2 linked regions of the Elephas maximus indicus genome follow. The protein of the gene in region 1 purifies or fractionates together with the protein of each later gene. This does not show direct contact. Links are inferred from orthologs where the notes say so. Each region holds a gene or a part of one and is shown in the gene's direction. Other genes may lie near its edges.

Evidence for each region. Proteins that work in one complex are often made in the same cells at the same time.
Region 2: the proteins of COP1 (region 1) and ETS2 purify together in Homo sapiens (affinity purification with western blotting; 3 studies listed by BioGRID and IntAct, with this or other methods). This does not show direct contact. The link is inferred for Elephas maximus indicus from reciprocal best matches to the Homo sapiens genes COP1 and ETS2.

What each region holds. Positions count from the first base shown.
Region 1 is NC_064842.1:38,684,237-38,691,215, reverse strand, and holds the start of COP1 (E3 ubiquitin-protein ligase COP1), read left to right. Parts: upstream 1-3,885; 5' UTR 3,886-4,160; coding exon 4,161-4,567; intron 4,568-6,979. UniProt on the Homo sapiens protein: E3 ubiquitin-protein ligase that mediates ubiquitination and subsequent proteasomal degradation of target proteins.
Region 2 is NC_064820.1:221,194,219-221,201,245, forward strand, and holds the start of ETS2 (protein C-ets-2), read left to right. Parts: upstream 1-3,938; 5' UTR 3,939-4,156; intron 4,157-7,027. UniProt on the Homo sapiens protein: Transcription factor activating transcription. Binds specifically the DNA GGAA/T core motif (Ets-binding site or EBS) in gene promoters and stimulates transcription.

The sequences.
Region 1 (6,979 bases):
AAAGGGCAGGGCTAGATGGAGGTGGAAAACAGTGACCTTATCTCCCTAAAATATCATACTTGCATAAGGCACCTCAGAAATAGGTCTGGGAAGCTCAATCCTCTTGGTAATTATATTCCACTTTAACTCCATTAGATTTTACTTCAGTATAAGTGTTTTTGCTAGAAGACTTTGGATTTTGTTTTCATTGCTATTTTTGTGGTTCATGGGATAAAATTCCTTTGACTATTCAGACTTAGCTTTTATTATGCACTTACTTTCATCTTTTATTAATTTTTTTCTTTTTTCCTATTCTCTACTTCATAGCAACGACTGTGAGGATGGTGCAGGACCAGGCAGTGTTTCCTTCTGTTGTACATGAGGACACTATGAGTCAGAGCTGACTCGACGGCACCGGCCAACAATTTATTTCTCTTCTCATATTTTGAGTTGCCTGACTTCCTTCTTTGTGTATGTTTTGTCATGCTTCCTCTTCTGTTTTCCCAGAAGATCTTGCCAGTAGAAACTAGGAAGGCCTGTGTATTCTCAGAACACAGTCTTTATACATTTATCTGGTAAAAAAAAGGAAATGCCACTGTATCACATCCCATTTCCTTTTGTGAATTTACTGAAAATAGGTTCCCAAGAGGTAATACCAAGCACTGAAGATTTTTTCCTGGGAGACTTCTCAGTTGGGGCCATATTACTTTTAGGCACCTAAGCTACCTGGATAGAAGACTACTTCACATTATTTCTCTTATACCTCCCACAGAATAAAGCACAATGTTTCTCAGAGTTGGTCACTCACGTCAGATTCACCTGAGTGCTGGTAAAAGTCCATATTCTTAGGCCCTTACAATGAGTCAGAATTGACTCGATGGCAAAGGGTATTTCAGGCCTATTAATCAGAATCTTTTTGGGGTGGAACTTAGAAATCCACAGTTTTTAACAAACTCTCTACATGATTCTTTTTTGCAGCATAGTTTAAGACTCATGGGTGTAGTAACATGCACAGCAAGTGACAGGCCCTTAATAACTCTTTGATTATAGATATATTATCCCCTTACTAATTTCCAAATTTCTCAAGTGCTGAAATTTCTCTTTGGCCCAGCCCTGCATTTTTAATCATTGCCCGGATATGCTTAGTAAATGTTTTTTCCACCCTCATTCAACATACCCAAAACTAAACCATCTGCCAGATGTCTCGAATTCTGTCATCATGCTATGGTTATCCCAAGAGTCATCTCTGGAGTCATTCCTTACTCTTTGTGCTCCATCTTTTTTACTTAATCAACATACTATGCATGTGGGAAAGACAGTGATGAACATGACAGACATAGGTCATGTCCTCAAGGAGCTTAAAGATTCTTTTGCAGAGAGTAATTTATTCCTAAATTCTTTAGTGTTTTTCTCAGATACTCCCTTGCTTTCCTTGCCACCACCCTCATCTAGAATCTCATCACTTAGGCTCAGACTGATAATGTTTTCTTAGTCTGTTTGCTCTGAATCTTTCAGCTCTTCTGAAAGATTAATCTTCTGAAAGCTTATTCTTTAACACTTTGAATATATTCCCTACGCTTACCCTGCCGGATACCTTCACTGTTTCCAATTGCCTTATAGGATATGCCCAAAACTGGATTTCAACCTTTTTACAATCTTGTTCCCAAATGAAGTTCTCCCAAATAAACTCTTCTACCCCTATGAAATAGATAACTGAACTTGATGTAAGCATTTTTACTGATTATTTTCTGGGTTCATGACTTCAATTATACTTTCTGCTTGATCAAACCATACTTTTCTCTTAAAGCCTAATTCCTTCCCTCATCAACATGGCTGGTCTTCAGTACTTGCTCTTGCTTCAGCTCCTATTGGATTTTTATCCATTATGCATTAAGCATGTGTTCCTTGGCATCATCATCTAGCTTTTTAAAATCCATTTCTGTAAGTCCTCAATTATTCCATAAGCTTGTTTTATAGACTTCTCTATCTCTTCCTGAGGAGCCCTGGTAGCTCAGTGGTTAAGCACTTGGCTGCTAATTGAAAGGTCAGGGAGAAAGATGTGGCAGTCTGCTTCCATAAAGATTTACAGCCTTAGAAACCCTATGGGCCAGTTCTACTCTGTCCTATAGGGTTGCTATGAGTCAAAATCTACTCCATGGCAACAGGTGTGGTTTTGTCTCTTCCTTGGTTAGCCCATGCCTTCCCGTACTAAGCATTCAATGAATTTTCATCAAATTATGTTCATCTATTTATGCTTTCCTTCACCAAACACCGAATGCCTCAAACAGACCAATATGGCCTTGTTTTCACGAAACTTAACAATTTAGTTAGACAGACAAACATTTAAGAAATAATTAAAATAAAAATGAGATCATTGGCTTTATTCATTTATTAGTCAACAAACAATAAGCACCAGGCATGGTGTAACATGTTGGAAATACAAAGAAAGTTGTGGTTGACAGGCTAGTGGAGAATAACACATAAACAATTAAAATACAATTATATAAGTACAAACAATCATAGGAGCACAAAAGACGGCTCAACTATCTCTGCTAAGGATAGAGTCAGGGAAGGCTTCACATTTCAGCTGTGTCTAGAAAATAGTTTGAAACAAGAGTTGGATGAGGCAATGTTCTTGCAAGGAGGTTCTTGGAAATCTGATAAATCCATTCCTATACCATCATTCTAAGCAGAAACTTGAGGTAAACCCAAGGTGGGAATACCAAGGTGAACAGCTAAGGCAGAGTGAAGAGGGTGGCAACCTTATGAAAGTTCACTGCCCAGCTGGGTGGCTAAATCCGAGTTTCTGGGCCTTCACTCAAGCCCCTCTGTGACCTAGCCCCCTTACATACATTGATGTCCTTCAGAAAAGTTCCTTGCTTTCCCTATAGGCTTCTTCAACACTCAGGACAAAACTAAATCAGATCCTTTCCTCTAAGAATCACAGAATGATGGAGACGGAAAAGATACTGAAAATCACCCAGTTCAGCTGTTTCTAACTTACATACATCCCCAAGAACCTTAGGGATTCTCAAAGTGGTAAACGAAACTCTGTAGGCAATTTTCAATATTCCAAAAGGTTTAACAGAAATTGCATATTTTCCGGTGGTATCGAATATTGTGTTTCCTTGTTTTGTGATAGAATGATATCAATTCCACATTAAACTGAGGTTTGACTGACCTGTCTTCCGATTGAGTATAATCTGTTTTCCTATTATGTCACACCCAACTTAGTAAACAACGTTTAAAATAAGCTCATGGTCAAACTGGTAAAACTTGCTACACTCTTCACTGACTTCACCTTTATTTAATTCTCACAACACTGTAGAATGGCTCAATAACAGCAGAGCCTGGAAACCTTGACTCTCAGTCCAGGGTTCTTTCGAACTGCGCGGTGCTTCCAGGTTCCTTCCGTTTGTCCCCAGTCTACAGCACCTTCAATCCCTGATCGAGAAGCACCTGTCGTGCTCTTGCTATTGGGTCACCCATCCGCCTCTCAGGAGACAGGGATCGCTCCCTCTTCACACTCAGGAACGCGGTTCGCTCCCACGCATGCGTATATCACGCTCTTCCTCGCCTGGAACGGAGACCCTAGCTAGCTCGCGAGGGTGGGCGCCCAGGGCGCGCGTATGCAGTCGTTTTGTGAGCGGCTCTCTTCTCCTGCCCCCGCTCCCCGTCCACCAAACCACCAATCCTACCGTTCATTTTACTCTCCTCCGCCCTTTCACTCCATTAAGACTGCCTACCCTTCCGTACGTCACCAGCGAAAACAGCTCCCGCCCAGGGCTCCTCTGGTTGCTAAGCCGCCGCCGTCGCCGTTCGTGCACGAGCACCGCCCGGGCGGCGTAGAAAGTTGTATCCCCCGCCGCTCCCGCCCCTTCCGCCGCTCGCGCGCGCGCGCGCGCGCACGACCTGCCCACGGCGCGCAGGGGTTGGCGGCGGCGGCGGCCTCGAGAGCGGTAGTGGTTTCTACTCCCCTTTATTAGTTTCCTCCGCCCCCTCCCGTCGGACACCGTTGTGTGGATGCCTTAAGAAAAAAATCAACTTTATTGTTCCTCAGCCCCACCTCCCGGCGCGGCGCGCGTCCTCGGGATGCACTGAGACTGAGGGAGGGGAGGCGGCGGTGGGTCGTGTCTGGGTCCCTCTCCTCCGAGCGCCGTGCCGGGGGGGAGGGAGTCACGATGTCAGGTAGCCGCCCGGCCGGATCGGGCTCCGCTGGGACGAGCCCTGGCTCCTCGGCGGCCTCCTCGGTGACTTCCGCCTCCTCGTCCTTATCCTCTTCCCCGTCGCCCCCTTCCGTGGCGGCTTCGGCGGCGGCGCTGGTGTCCGGCGGAGCGGCCCAGGCCGCGGGCTCGGGCGGCCTCGGGGGCCCGGTGCGGCCTGTGCTGGTGGCGGCCGCGGCGTCGGGCAGCGGCGGCGGGGCGGTGTCCGTGGGCCCGTCCCGGCTCAGCTGCGCGGCCAGGCCCAGCCCCGGCGTAGGTGGGAGCAGCTCCAGCCTAGGCAGCGGCAGCAGGAAGCGACCTCTGCCCACCCCGCTCTGCAACGGGCTCATCAACTCCTATGAAGACAAAAGCAACGACTTCGTCTGGTAGGTTTGAATAACACCCCGCACCCCTTGCCCCCTGTGTGTTACGAGTTCCTGCTGGTTAGGCTGGTGGGGTCCAGTGTGAGGGTGGCCTGTGTAAGAGCTTGGATACTGGTTTTGTTCTGAAGTCAGCGTTTCCGAGATTCGAACTTGTAGCGGTGGTGGGGGTGGGGGGGTGGTAAGGACGGAGGGGAGGAGTGAGGAGATGTTGAAGTCCCAAGGCAGGTTGGGGGTAGTGAAGAGGTGAGCAGTGGTGGGGAGGAAGTGAGAGGAATTTAAGGCATAATAAATAGGATGGGGAGATGGAGCATCGAATAATGTTGTGGATAAAGAAGAAAGTTGGGTAAGAAGGTTGGGCCTTGCATTTTCTGGCTGTCTGGCGTTTTAGGCACCCAAAAATCAATCCGATTACTTGTTGAGGTGAATTAAATTTGTGAAGAGGGTGAAGCTTCCTGGGATGCTGAGGGATGGCGTTGCTGGTCAGGATTTGCTTACTGGCGGTATGGTGCATGGTGCTGTAAACACGGGTAAGGATGTTTTAAGGGGAAGTAGTATTTAAGTATCAGTTGTGTGTGTACATGTGTATTTAAATATATCTCGTCTCACATTTCAAAGTGTAGGCCACTTTTATATCTGCTGTAGTCAAAGTCTATTCACAAAATATTCAATTTCTCAATCGAATATCTTCAAGAGGGAACCACATTTAGTAAACATCATCGGTGTGTTAATTACAGTTGTATTACACTCGTATAACGCATTAGAGTATACTGGAGCTTCTGATTTGAGAAACGCTAGGTATTAGAGATTTTGCCATCATAGTTGGCATCTTGAATGACACAGTACTATTCAGTCATGAGATTTGGCATAGACGGGCTAGCCATATGAAGTTGACTTGCTGAAAGTGTTTTGGGATTTTTATTGGGTTTTGGATATTATTGGTTGGATTATGAGAAAGGAATTAGCTGAGTAGAAACTGGTGGGGTTTTGTGCTTTTCTTTTGGAGGAAATTGATAGATTTCCTTAAGAGATTATGTTGTAGAAAGTTGGCTTGCACTAACATTATGGGGATGATCTGGGTTGGTGTCATTAAGTATGATAGGGGAATAAGTTGGAACTGCTAGGGAAGCTGTTGATTAGATATACAGTTTATGACTCTTGCAGAAAAATAATACTGTCTTTATTCATATTTCTGCTTTTCTTTTAAATTATTTTGGATTCAGAATTATTTCATTTTTCGTTGAACCTGGGCTATAATTGTGAATGATAGTTATGAATAATTTTAGCAGTTTATGATTGGATCTAAGAGGTGTTTGCCTTCATACTCAGTAGAGAGGAGCCTTGGTGGCATAATGGTTAAGAGCTCGGCTGCTAACCAAAAGGCTGGCAGTTTGAATCCATCACCTGCTCCTTTGGAAACCCTGTGGGGCAGTTCTACTCTGTCTTGTACGGTTGCTATGAGTCGGAATCGACTTGACGGAAGTGGGTTTTTTTTTATTTTGTTTTTAGAGAGTGCCACGTGGTAAGGTAGAAGCTAGTAAAATAAAGTGGAGGGTTTGCAGAATTTAGTCTTTTTGCTACCATTTCAATTTTCAGTAGACTGAAAAGAAAACAAACGCATCAGCATCCATATAAAAAACCAAACCCAACCCCATTGCCGTTGAGTTGATTTTGGCTCATTGCAACCCTGTAGGACAGTAGAACTGTCCCATGAGGCTTCCAAGGATTGGCTGCTGTATTCAAACTGCCGACCTTTTGATTAGCAGCTGAGCGCTTAACCATTGTGCCACCAGAGCTTCCAGCATCCATATAAAAAAAAAAAATAGGTATACTAAAACAGGGTAAAAGATGTGAGAGGTAAGGGAATTATTCATTCATTTAACAAATACTTACTTAATACTCACTGTCTGCCAGGCACCATGTGAGTTTCAGTGTGCTATAGGCTATTTTATAGGGAATTGGAGAGGGTGGGGAGCACTGGTTGCTCAGTGGTTAAGCTCTTGGTGCTAACCAGTGGTTTGAACCTACCAGCTGCTCTGCGGGAGAAAGATGTAGCAGTCTGCTCCTGTAAAGATTTACAGCCTTGGAAACCCTGTTGGGCAGTTTACCTCTGTCCTGTAGGGTCACCTTGAGTTGGAATCAACTTGACGGCAGTGGGTTTGGTTTGGGTTTGGAAAGGGTAGAAACAGTTTAAGCAGCTGGCACTTTTTTTTTTTTTTGAAACAAGATTATTAAAATTTTTATTAGCCCATCACCTAATTTAAAAATTTCAGTCTAGTCTCTTGAGTTCTAATCATGCTGCTTAAATTATTCTGTTTTCGTTTATACTGTAGTGTGGAAGTGTCCACTGAGAGTTTTCAGTTAAAAATTTTGCATATTTCACTTTTTGTCTAAGGATCTCATTAGTTCATTATATCT
Region 2 (7,027 bases), on another chromosome or scaffold:
TGGTCCTGGAGCCTATGTTTACTGAATGAATAAATGATACACTTCCGGCCAAATGACGTCTGTTTAACTTGCAACTTGAAACTACCTTGAATCGTGTGTTGCCTCTATTGATTTGGATCTCAAGGCAAATATGAAGGTATCTCTAAGGAAACGTGTTTCTTTTTTTAAAGAATGACTTTTTAATGATAGTGTCTGGTTTCTAAAGAACGTTTTATCTGTATTTTACTCTCTAGATAATTTAGTATTTGTGCAGACATAGGTTCTGCTATCTCTTTCCTTTTTTTCTTCTCTGAGCTTTATTCTGTCTTAAGGGAAAAGGATTAAGATGACTCTTAAACTCAGCTTGACATAAGCACATCTGATCATTTCACCCTGTGCGTCTTCTGCCTTTTCATTTCCTTCTAACACCTTCAACTTTTGATTTTAAAGTGCAGCGAGCGCAGTACTTAAATAGGCTTCATTTACTGTAAAGCCTGGTGTTCCTTGAGCATCGCGCCGTAACAGTCAATGAATAATCACAGGCTTCAACCAGGCAGGGGTTTAATAACTAGGCTGAGTAACTAGGAAACCAGCTAATAACAAGGACAAAAAAAAAAAAAAAAAAAAAAATTAGGAGCCCCGGTATCATCCCAGAACTAGCATACGTCATTTTATTAAGTTCATGTCACCATCAAACTGTGGCGGTGGAACAGTCACAGCACAGGACCCAGGGCAAGGGGGCTTTGTGGGAAGCAGGGAGCTAGAGGGGCCTGGGTGGGAGTCAGGAGACTAGGCTTGTGTGGACTCTGTGTCCCTTCCGAGTGTGACCCAGGCAAACTGACCTAGCTTCTTCTCCTAGAGGCCTCCACACCTCTTTCAGCTCTGCCATTTTGTCATCCAGGCCATGGTCATTTTGGGTAGGGTTTCACACCAGTGGGATCTGAGACAGTAGGGACAATTTCTTTTTTCATGTGTATGACAATTTTTTCCAAGTGTTTCTCATAAAATGATTCAAGGGGGGAGTTTGGAGAAAGAAACTTAGTAGCTGCCATTTTGAGCTCTCTCAGCTCAAAAGGCACTCAACACTGGTAAGTACTGGGATTTATGTCTTATGACATAGGTTCCATAGAGAGAGAGGGAGGGAGGGGTACGTGGCTGGGTGGGTGGGTGGATGGATGGTTGGATGGATGGATGGATGAACAGACAGATGCCAGTGAGCTGACTCTTTTTCATGGCAACCTGTGTCATCCTCCCAATCAATGCATGTTTGAGTCCATCATTGTGGCTATTAAGCCAATCCATCTTGCCGAGTGTCTCCCTCACCCTCACTGGTCCTCTACTTCACCAAACATGATGTCCTGCTTTGTCCATTGAGCCTTCCTGATGGCGTGTCCAAAGCAAGAGAATAGAACAAAGTTCTGTCGTAACCCATAAGGTTTTCATCGGCTGAGTTTTGGAAGTAGATCCCCAGGCCTTTCTTCATAGTCTCTCTTAGCCTAGAAGCTCCACAGAAAACTGTCCACCACGGGTGATGCTGCTTATATTTGAAATACCCATAGCATGGCTTCCAGCGTCACAGCAACACACAAGCCACCACACTATGACAAACTGACAGATGGGTGGTGGATAGGTTGGTTCCATAATTGCCCCTTTTCTGCAGAGGAGTTAAATAATAGGCTCAAGGTATTCCGAGTTAGTAAGCAGGGGAAGGCTTGGCCATTAGGAAAAGATTTTCTCCCAACTCCAGTGCTCCTTCCATTGATTTCTGTCTCTCAGCTTGTATATGCTTGAAACTGCCCAGTGAGCAAAGCGCTTCTTCCTGGCCCCCATCCTCAAAAGAAGGAAAGACGTCTTCACAAAGAATCAACGGGTCTCCATCTGTCCTCTTTAGGGAGCCCTGGGAGAAAAGTCTGGTGATCTACTTCCAAAAATCAGCCAGTGAAAACCCTGTGGATCCATGACCTATCACGGGAATGGCACAGGACAGGGCATCGTTTCATGCCATTGTGCCTGAGGTCACCATGAGTCGGGGCCAACTCAACGGCAGATTAACAACAGCACCAGGGAGCCTGTCCATCAACCTCTGGCACCAAACATGGGTGGGGAGCAGGCACAGGGGACTAGGCAGTGGCACCAAGCTTCTCAGACACCCGAAACTGGCCGTGGCACCAAGCTTCTCAGACACCATCCAGGACTGTGTGAGTAGCCTGGGGGAAAAGCCGCTGTATTACCTGGAAGGGCAGCCAGATGAGTCAGGATTTTCCGCTATGGTTTTAAGAAAAGAAAAAAAAGGAACACATTGCATCTCCATGGTAACTTACTATGGATCTGTATGCCATTTATAAAACTCCTTCTTGACCTATGTACCCTTTCTGATTCGGGCCTGAACGTACACTGAGAAGCCATCAGAATCAATTCAATCCCCCCAAAACACTGATTTCCCCTTGCACAATGTGGCCTGCCTCTGACATGTGCCATGGTGATACCTGGACACCCTCAAGTGGCAAGGCGCACTAAGGGGCTGCAGTATCTCGGTGATCCGGATAACGGCAGATCCATGGTTGCCACGGAAACCAGGAACCCTGGCTGACAGAAGCTGGACAGTTTCACTCCCTCCCGCGGCACCCTGTCTTTATGATGTAGCTGCTTTCAGTCCTAGGGTCTTGCCTAAACTAGGCTTTTTTAAAAAAATCTCGTACAAATCTAAATTTCTCTCCAAAATATTGAGAGTCTAAGTAGTTAAGTGACTGTGCTGGCAGCAGAAAGTTCAGCTGTTCGAATCCACCAGCCCCTCCCGGGGAGAAAGATGCAGCAATCTGCTTCAGTAAAGATTGCAACCTTGGAAACAATACGGGGCAGTTCTACTCTGTTCTATAGGGTCGCTACGAGTGGGAATCGACTAGACTGCTGTGGGTTTGGTTTGGGATCTAAGTCTAAATAGGAAATGCATACATTTTTAGCCATGGGCTCGGCGCCTTCTGATAAAAATGGAAACCCGCGTATAGGTGACGGTTTTGACCATGGGCTTGGGAGTCAGAAAAGGTCGGGTTGCCATCCTGAATTTCCCATGAGTACCCGCGCTTATGATCCAGTTACTTACCCTAAGATTCAGGTCTGTCATGTGCGAAGTGGCAACAATAAAACCTTGGAGAAATGTCCTGAAGATTAAATGATAATACATGTAGAGTGCTTCGCCTCGAGTGAAAGCTCAGTCGGTGTTGGTTACTACGATAGGCACCGCTCAATTCTAGGGGGCGCCCCTCACACGAGGGCTATGGAAATGGAATTACCCTGAGTAGCGCAATTCGTTGTGCACAATAAACTTGGTGGTGAGCCAGCAAAGGGCCCAGATCGTACTTGTTACCTTCATTTAGAGTCTTTTCATGACCCAATAACTAGAAATCTTGGATCCAGAGGGAGGTCCAAGAATGGGCCAGCTCAACTTTCGAGGGCACCGCCCAGGGAGATCTTATTAGCCAAGCGCCGCGACCACCCGTGTCACCAGCGCTCTTCATTATTCTCTTCATGCTGAATTCCAATGGCAGGTTTGGTGTGAAAGCCACAGGGATCAGGAGAGGAAACTGATTCTTCCCAGGAAAGGCTCTCCCGGCACACATCCTGAGTCCCTGGGACAGAGCCAGGTGACAGCGGACGCGGGAGAGAGGGCCCCGCCGGAAGGAGCTTGCTCCTCCCCTCCTCCGCTCCTCCCCTCCTCCCCTTTCTCTTCTCCCTTCTCTTCCTCTTCGCTCCGCTCTTCCTTCCAGCTTTTCCTTCCTTTCTCCTTTCTCCCTTCCTCTCCTTTGCCTCTCTACTCTTCTCCTCTCCTCCCCCTCCCTCTCTTCCTTTCCCTTGTCCCCGACCTCCTTCCTCCTCTGGTCCCCTCCCCCGTTCCCGTCCCTCCGCCTCCCCTCCTCCCCTTGTCTCCTCCCCTCTTTAGTCCCTCCTCTTCGCGCTCCTGAAGAGCTGCGCCGCGAGGGGACGGGCCGGTATTTCCTCCTGCTGCCGCGAGGAACACGGTGCACCCTAGGTCGAGAGCCCGGCTTGCCGCCCGCAACCCCCGGAGCGCCCCCGTCCGCCACCCGGTCCGCGGCCCCCGCGTCTTCAGCGTTCGCCCTCGCCCTCGCCTGGCGCGCACCCAGTTACCGCCGCCTCCGTCCGCGCCGGCCTGCCCGCAGGGGTAAGAGCGGGGTCCCTCCTGGAGCCCCCACCGCGCCGCAGACCCTGGAGGGCGCCGGCTAGGCGTCCGCTGAGAACCGCCTCCTGCGCCCGGCTCCTTTCCCTGGTAGGGGTGACCCAGAAACGGGACGGGAGACGCAGGCGACACCAAGATCTGGATCCTGGAGTGAACCAGGGGGTCAGGGTCGGGGTGGCGGTCCTCTTAGAATCCGAGGGGCGTGCGCCTGAGTTATCCTCACAGGCTTGTTTTCTCGGTACCGAGTGGCCTTGGGGGTGGCGGAGCGGCCGAGGGCCCGGCGGCAGGGTCAGTGCCGAGGTGCCCGGGCGAGGTTGCCCGGGGCCCCGAGACGTGCCGGCCCGGGCCTTGCGCACTCGGGCGGTGCCGCCGGGTCGCCGGGCGGCCTCCCGGGCGGGGTGCGGGTCTTGTTTCGCTTTGCTTGGCTTTGTTTTCTAAAAGGCATTCCGGGCCCGGTGGGGTTGTTCTTTGCCCAGGTTTCTCGTCCTGCGGGTGCCCAGGGCGCCTGAATTCACTAAGGGCGTTGAGAACGCAGAAGGGTGTCCGGGTAGCTCCCGCGCGCAGTCCACGGGCTTCCCGGCCCAGGCGCGCCCCGGCTTTGTGGGAGACTTTCTCAGGCGCCCCATTCTGGGGGGCGGTGCCGGGCCCGGCAGGGAGGTTGCCCGGATCGGGGAGGGGGGGCCCCGGCGCGTAAAGCGGAAATGCTACGGCACCCCGGAGCGCAGGGTCCCCAACTGCTCGGCCAAGTCCAGGGCCCAGCCCGGGCGGCAGGCGAGGGAGGCCCCAGGAGGGTGAACGGGTGGCGCCCTCTTGTCCTTCCGCTTGGGCGAAACCCTTACGGGTGCCCGAAAACCTCTGGATTCGGGGTCCCCTCGGCCGACATTGGTGAGGGAATGGGGGACCGGGAGGCGTAGGCTGCCTTTATTTTCTTGAAGTATTTTGAAGGAAAGAGTAATCGTGAGCGTTTGCGTATGTGTATTTGGGGGCTTTGGGTTTCTTTTTTTTTTTAAGTTCAGGAGGCTTTTAATGCTAGACGGTTCTAAATTTCAGGGTAGACTGAAATAGCAGTTGTGCTACTTTAGAAAGTAAATAGGTGAGCAGGCCCCTTTGGAGATAGGAGTAATTTATTTTATTTCACCAGCAAGAGATTACATGTGTTCCATGGGATGGAAGTGATGTGTGTTAGCTGCCTGCCCACACCGCCAGCAATCACCCATATAAATCTCTAAGTTAAGGTTTATTAAAATTCTGAGTAACATCGCAGTACAATAAATGTTAGCACCGCGTATCCCGCAGGGAAATCGATTCAAACACTCATTCCTGAGATTAGTCATTCATCTCTAAACTGATAACTTTCCAAGTGAAAAAAGCAAAAGGTACCTTCAAAAGTGTGAAAGGCTTGTTTCATTTTGTTTTTCTTAAGATTTACCTAAGTGCAAACCTGTGTTCTGATCTCACATAACTGATTATTTGTTCTAATAAGGGTACTGCCGTCTGGCAGGTTGTCCTCTTTTCGAATGTTACCACTGTCGGCCATTCTGTTCTGCCATTTCCCCCCCTTTTTTTGGTTCAAAAGCAGTGATCAGTATGGCAACACCGAAATGACCTAAACATGAAGTTGATTAATGTGGAGGAACTTGGCATGCCTGTCACTTTAACAAGCTGTGTTGAGTAAAATAAGTGAACTTAAATTTGATTAGTGATGTGTCTGCCTGAAACCATTTAGTCGAGCTCTTTGATTCTACATGGTTTTTTTACAAAACTCATTAAGAGCTGGACAACAAAAGAATTCTATTCTGTAGCTAGTAATTATACCTCTTTATGTGGGAGGGGTAGGCTGCCTTTTCTCTCGGTATTTGTACACAAAAGCTAGGCAGAGCTTTTCCGTGGCCGTCCGCAGCCTTTCTCTGTCAGTCTCTGTGAAGTTAGAACATGTAGGATAAAGCCGGCAGCCTACTAACCAAAAGGTTGGTGGTTCGAGGCCACCCAGAGAAGGAAGGCCTGCCTGGCAATTTACTTCCAAAAAATTAGCCATTGAAAACCCTGTGGAGCACAGTTCTACTCTGACACACACATGGGTTGCTATAAGTTGGAGTTGACTCGACAGCAGCTGGTTTTGCTGGGTTCTGGATAGATACTGGACAAACCCAAGATGTCTATTGTCTTGGCTCGGGCCTACTGTCATAGTATCTGTTTGCTGTCTCTGCCTTATGGTGATGTGGAGGCAGAAGGGCACGTGCCTGGCACAGTGGGTTAGGACCACATGCAACGGGGATTTGGTCCCTCGTCTGCTCCTTAGTAGCCCCGTGGTAGCTGTTGATCCAGGGCCAGTTAACACCTGGGCCTCCAGTGCCTCCCTACAAGATGGCACACTGTCTCCAGCCCTGATGTTGGGGAGGTTCAGGGAAAGGGTGCTTAGGGCTGAGTGAGTAGGCGTCTGTCAGCGCTGGCGAGCCTTAGCAGTGAGCACTGATTCTTGAGAAATGCGGACGGCAGAAGTGACAAGATGGAGATTCTGATCCAGCGTGGCCACTTTTGATCCCAGAACAACCCTCCCCTCCCACCCACCCATGGGGTGATTATCAAGGTGTTCTCTCTCCTGTCTTGGCTGCTGTGATAATTACCTTCAGGGCAAGGGACTTTACAGCCTTTCCAATGTCTCTTGCCTCCCACACTGCCATTTTAGGGGTGTGTGTGTGTGTCTCCAGTATCCAGAGCCCAGCAAAACCAGTTGCCATCGAGTTGATTGCAACTCATGGCAACCCCATGTGTGTTAGTGTTGGGTGGCAGGGTTGTTGGGAGGTGTGTTTTAGTTATAATGTTGTTCATAAAGAGAAAGTAAGAAAGCACACAGTT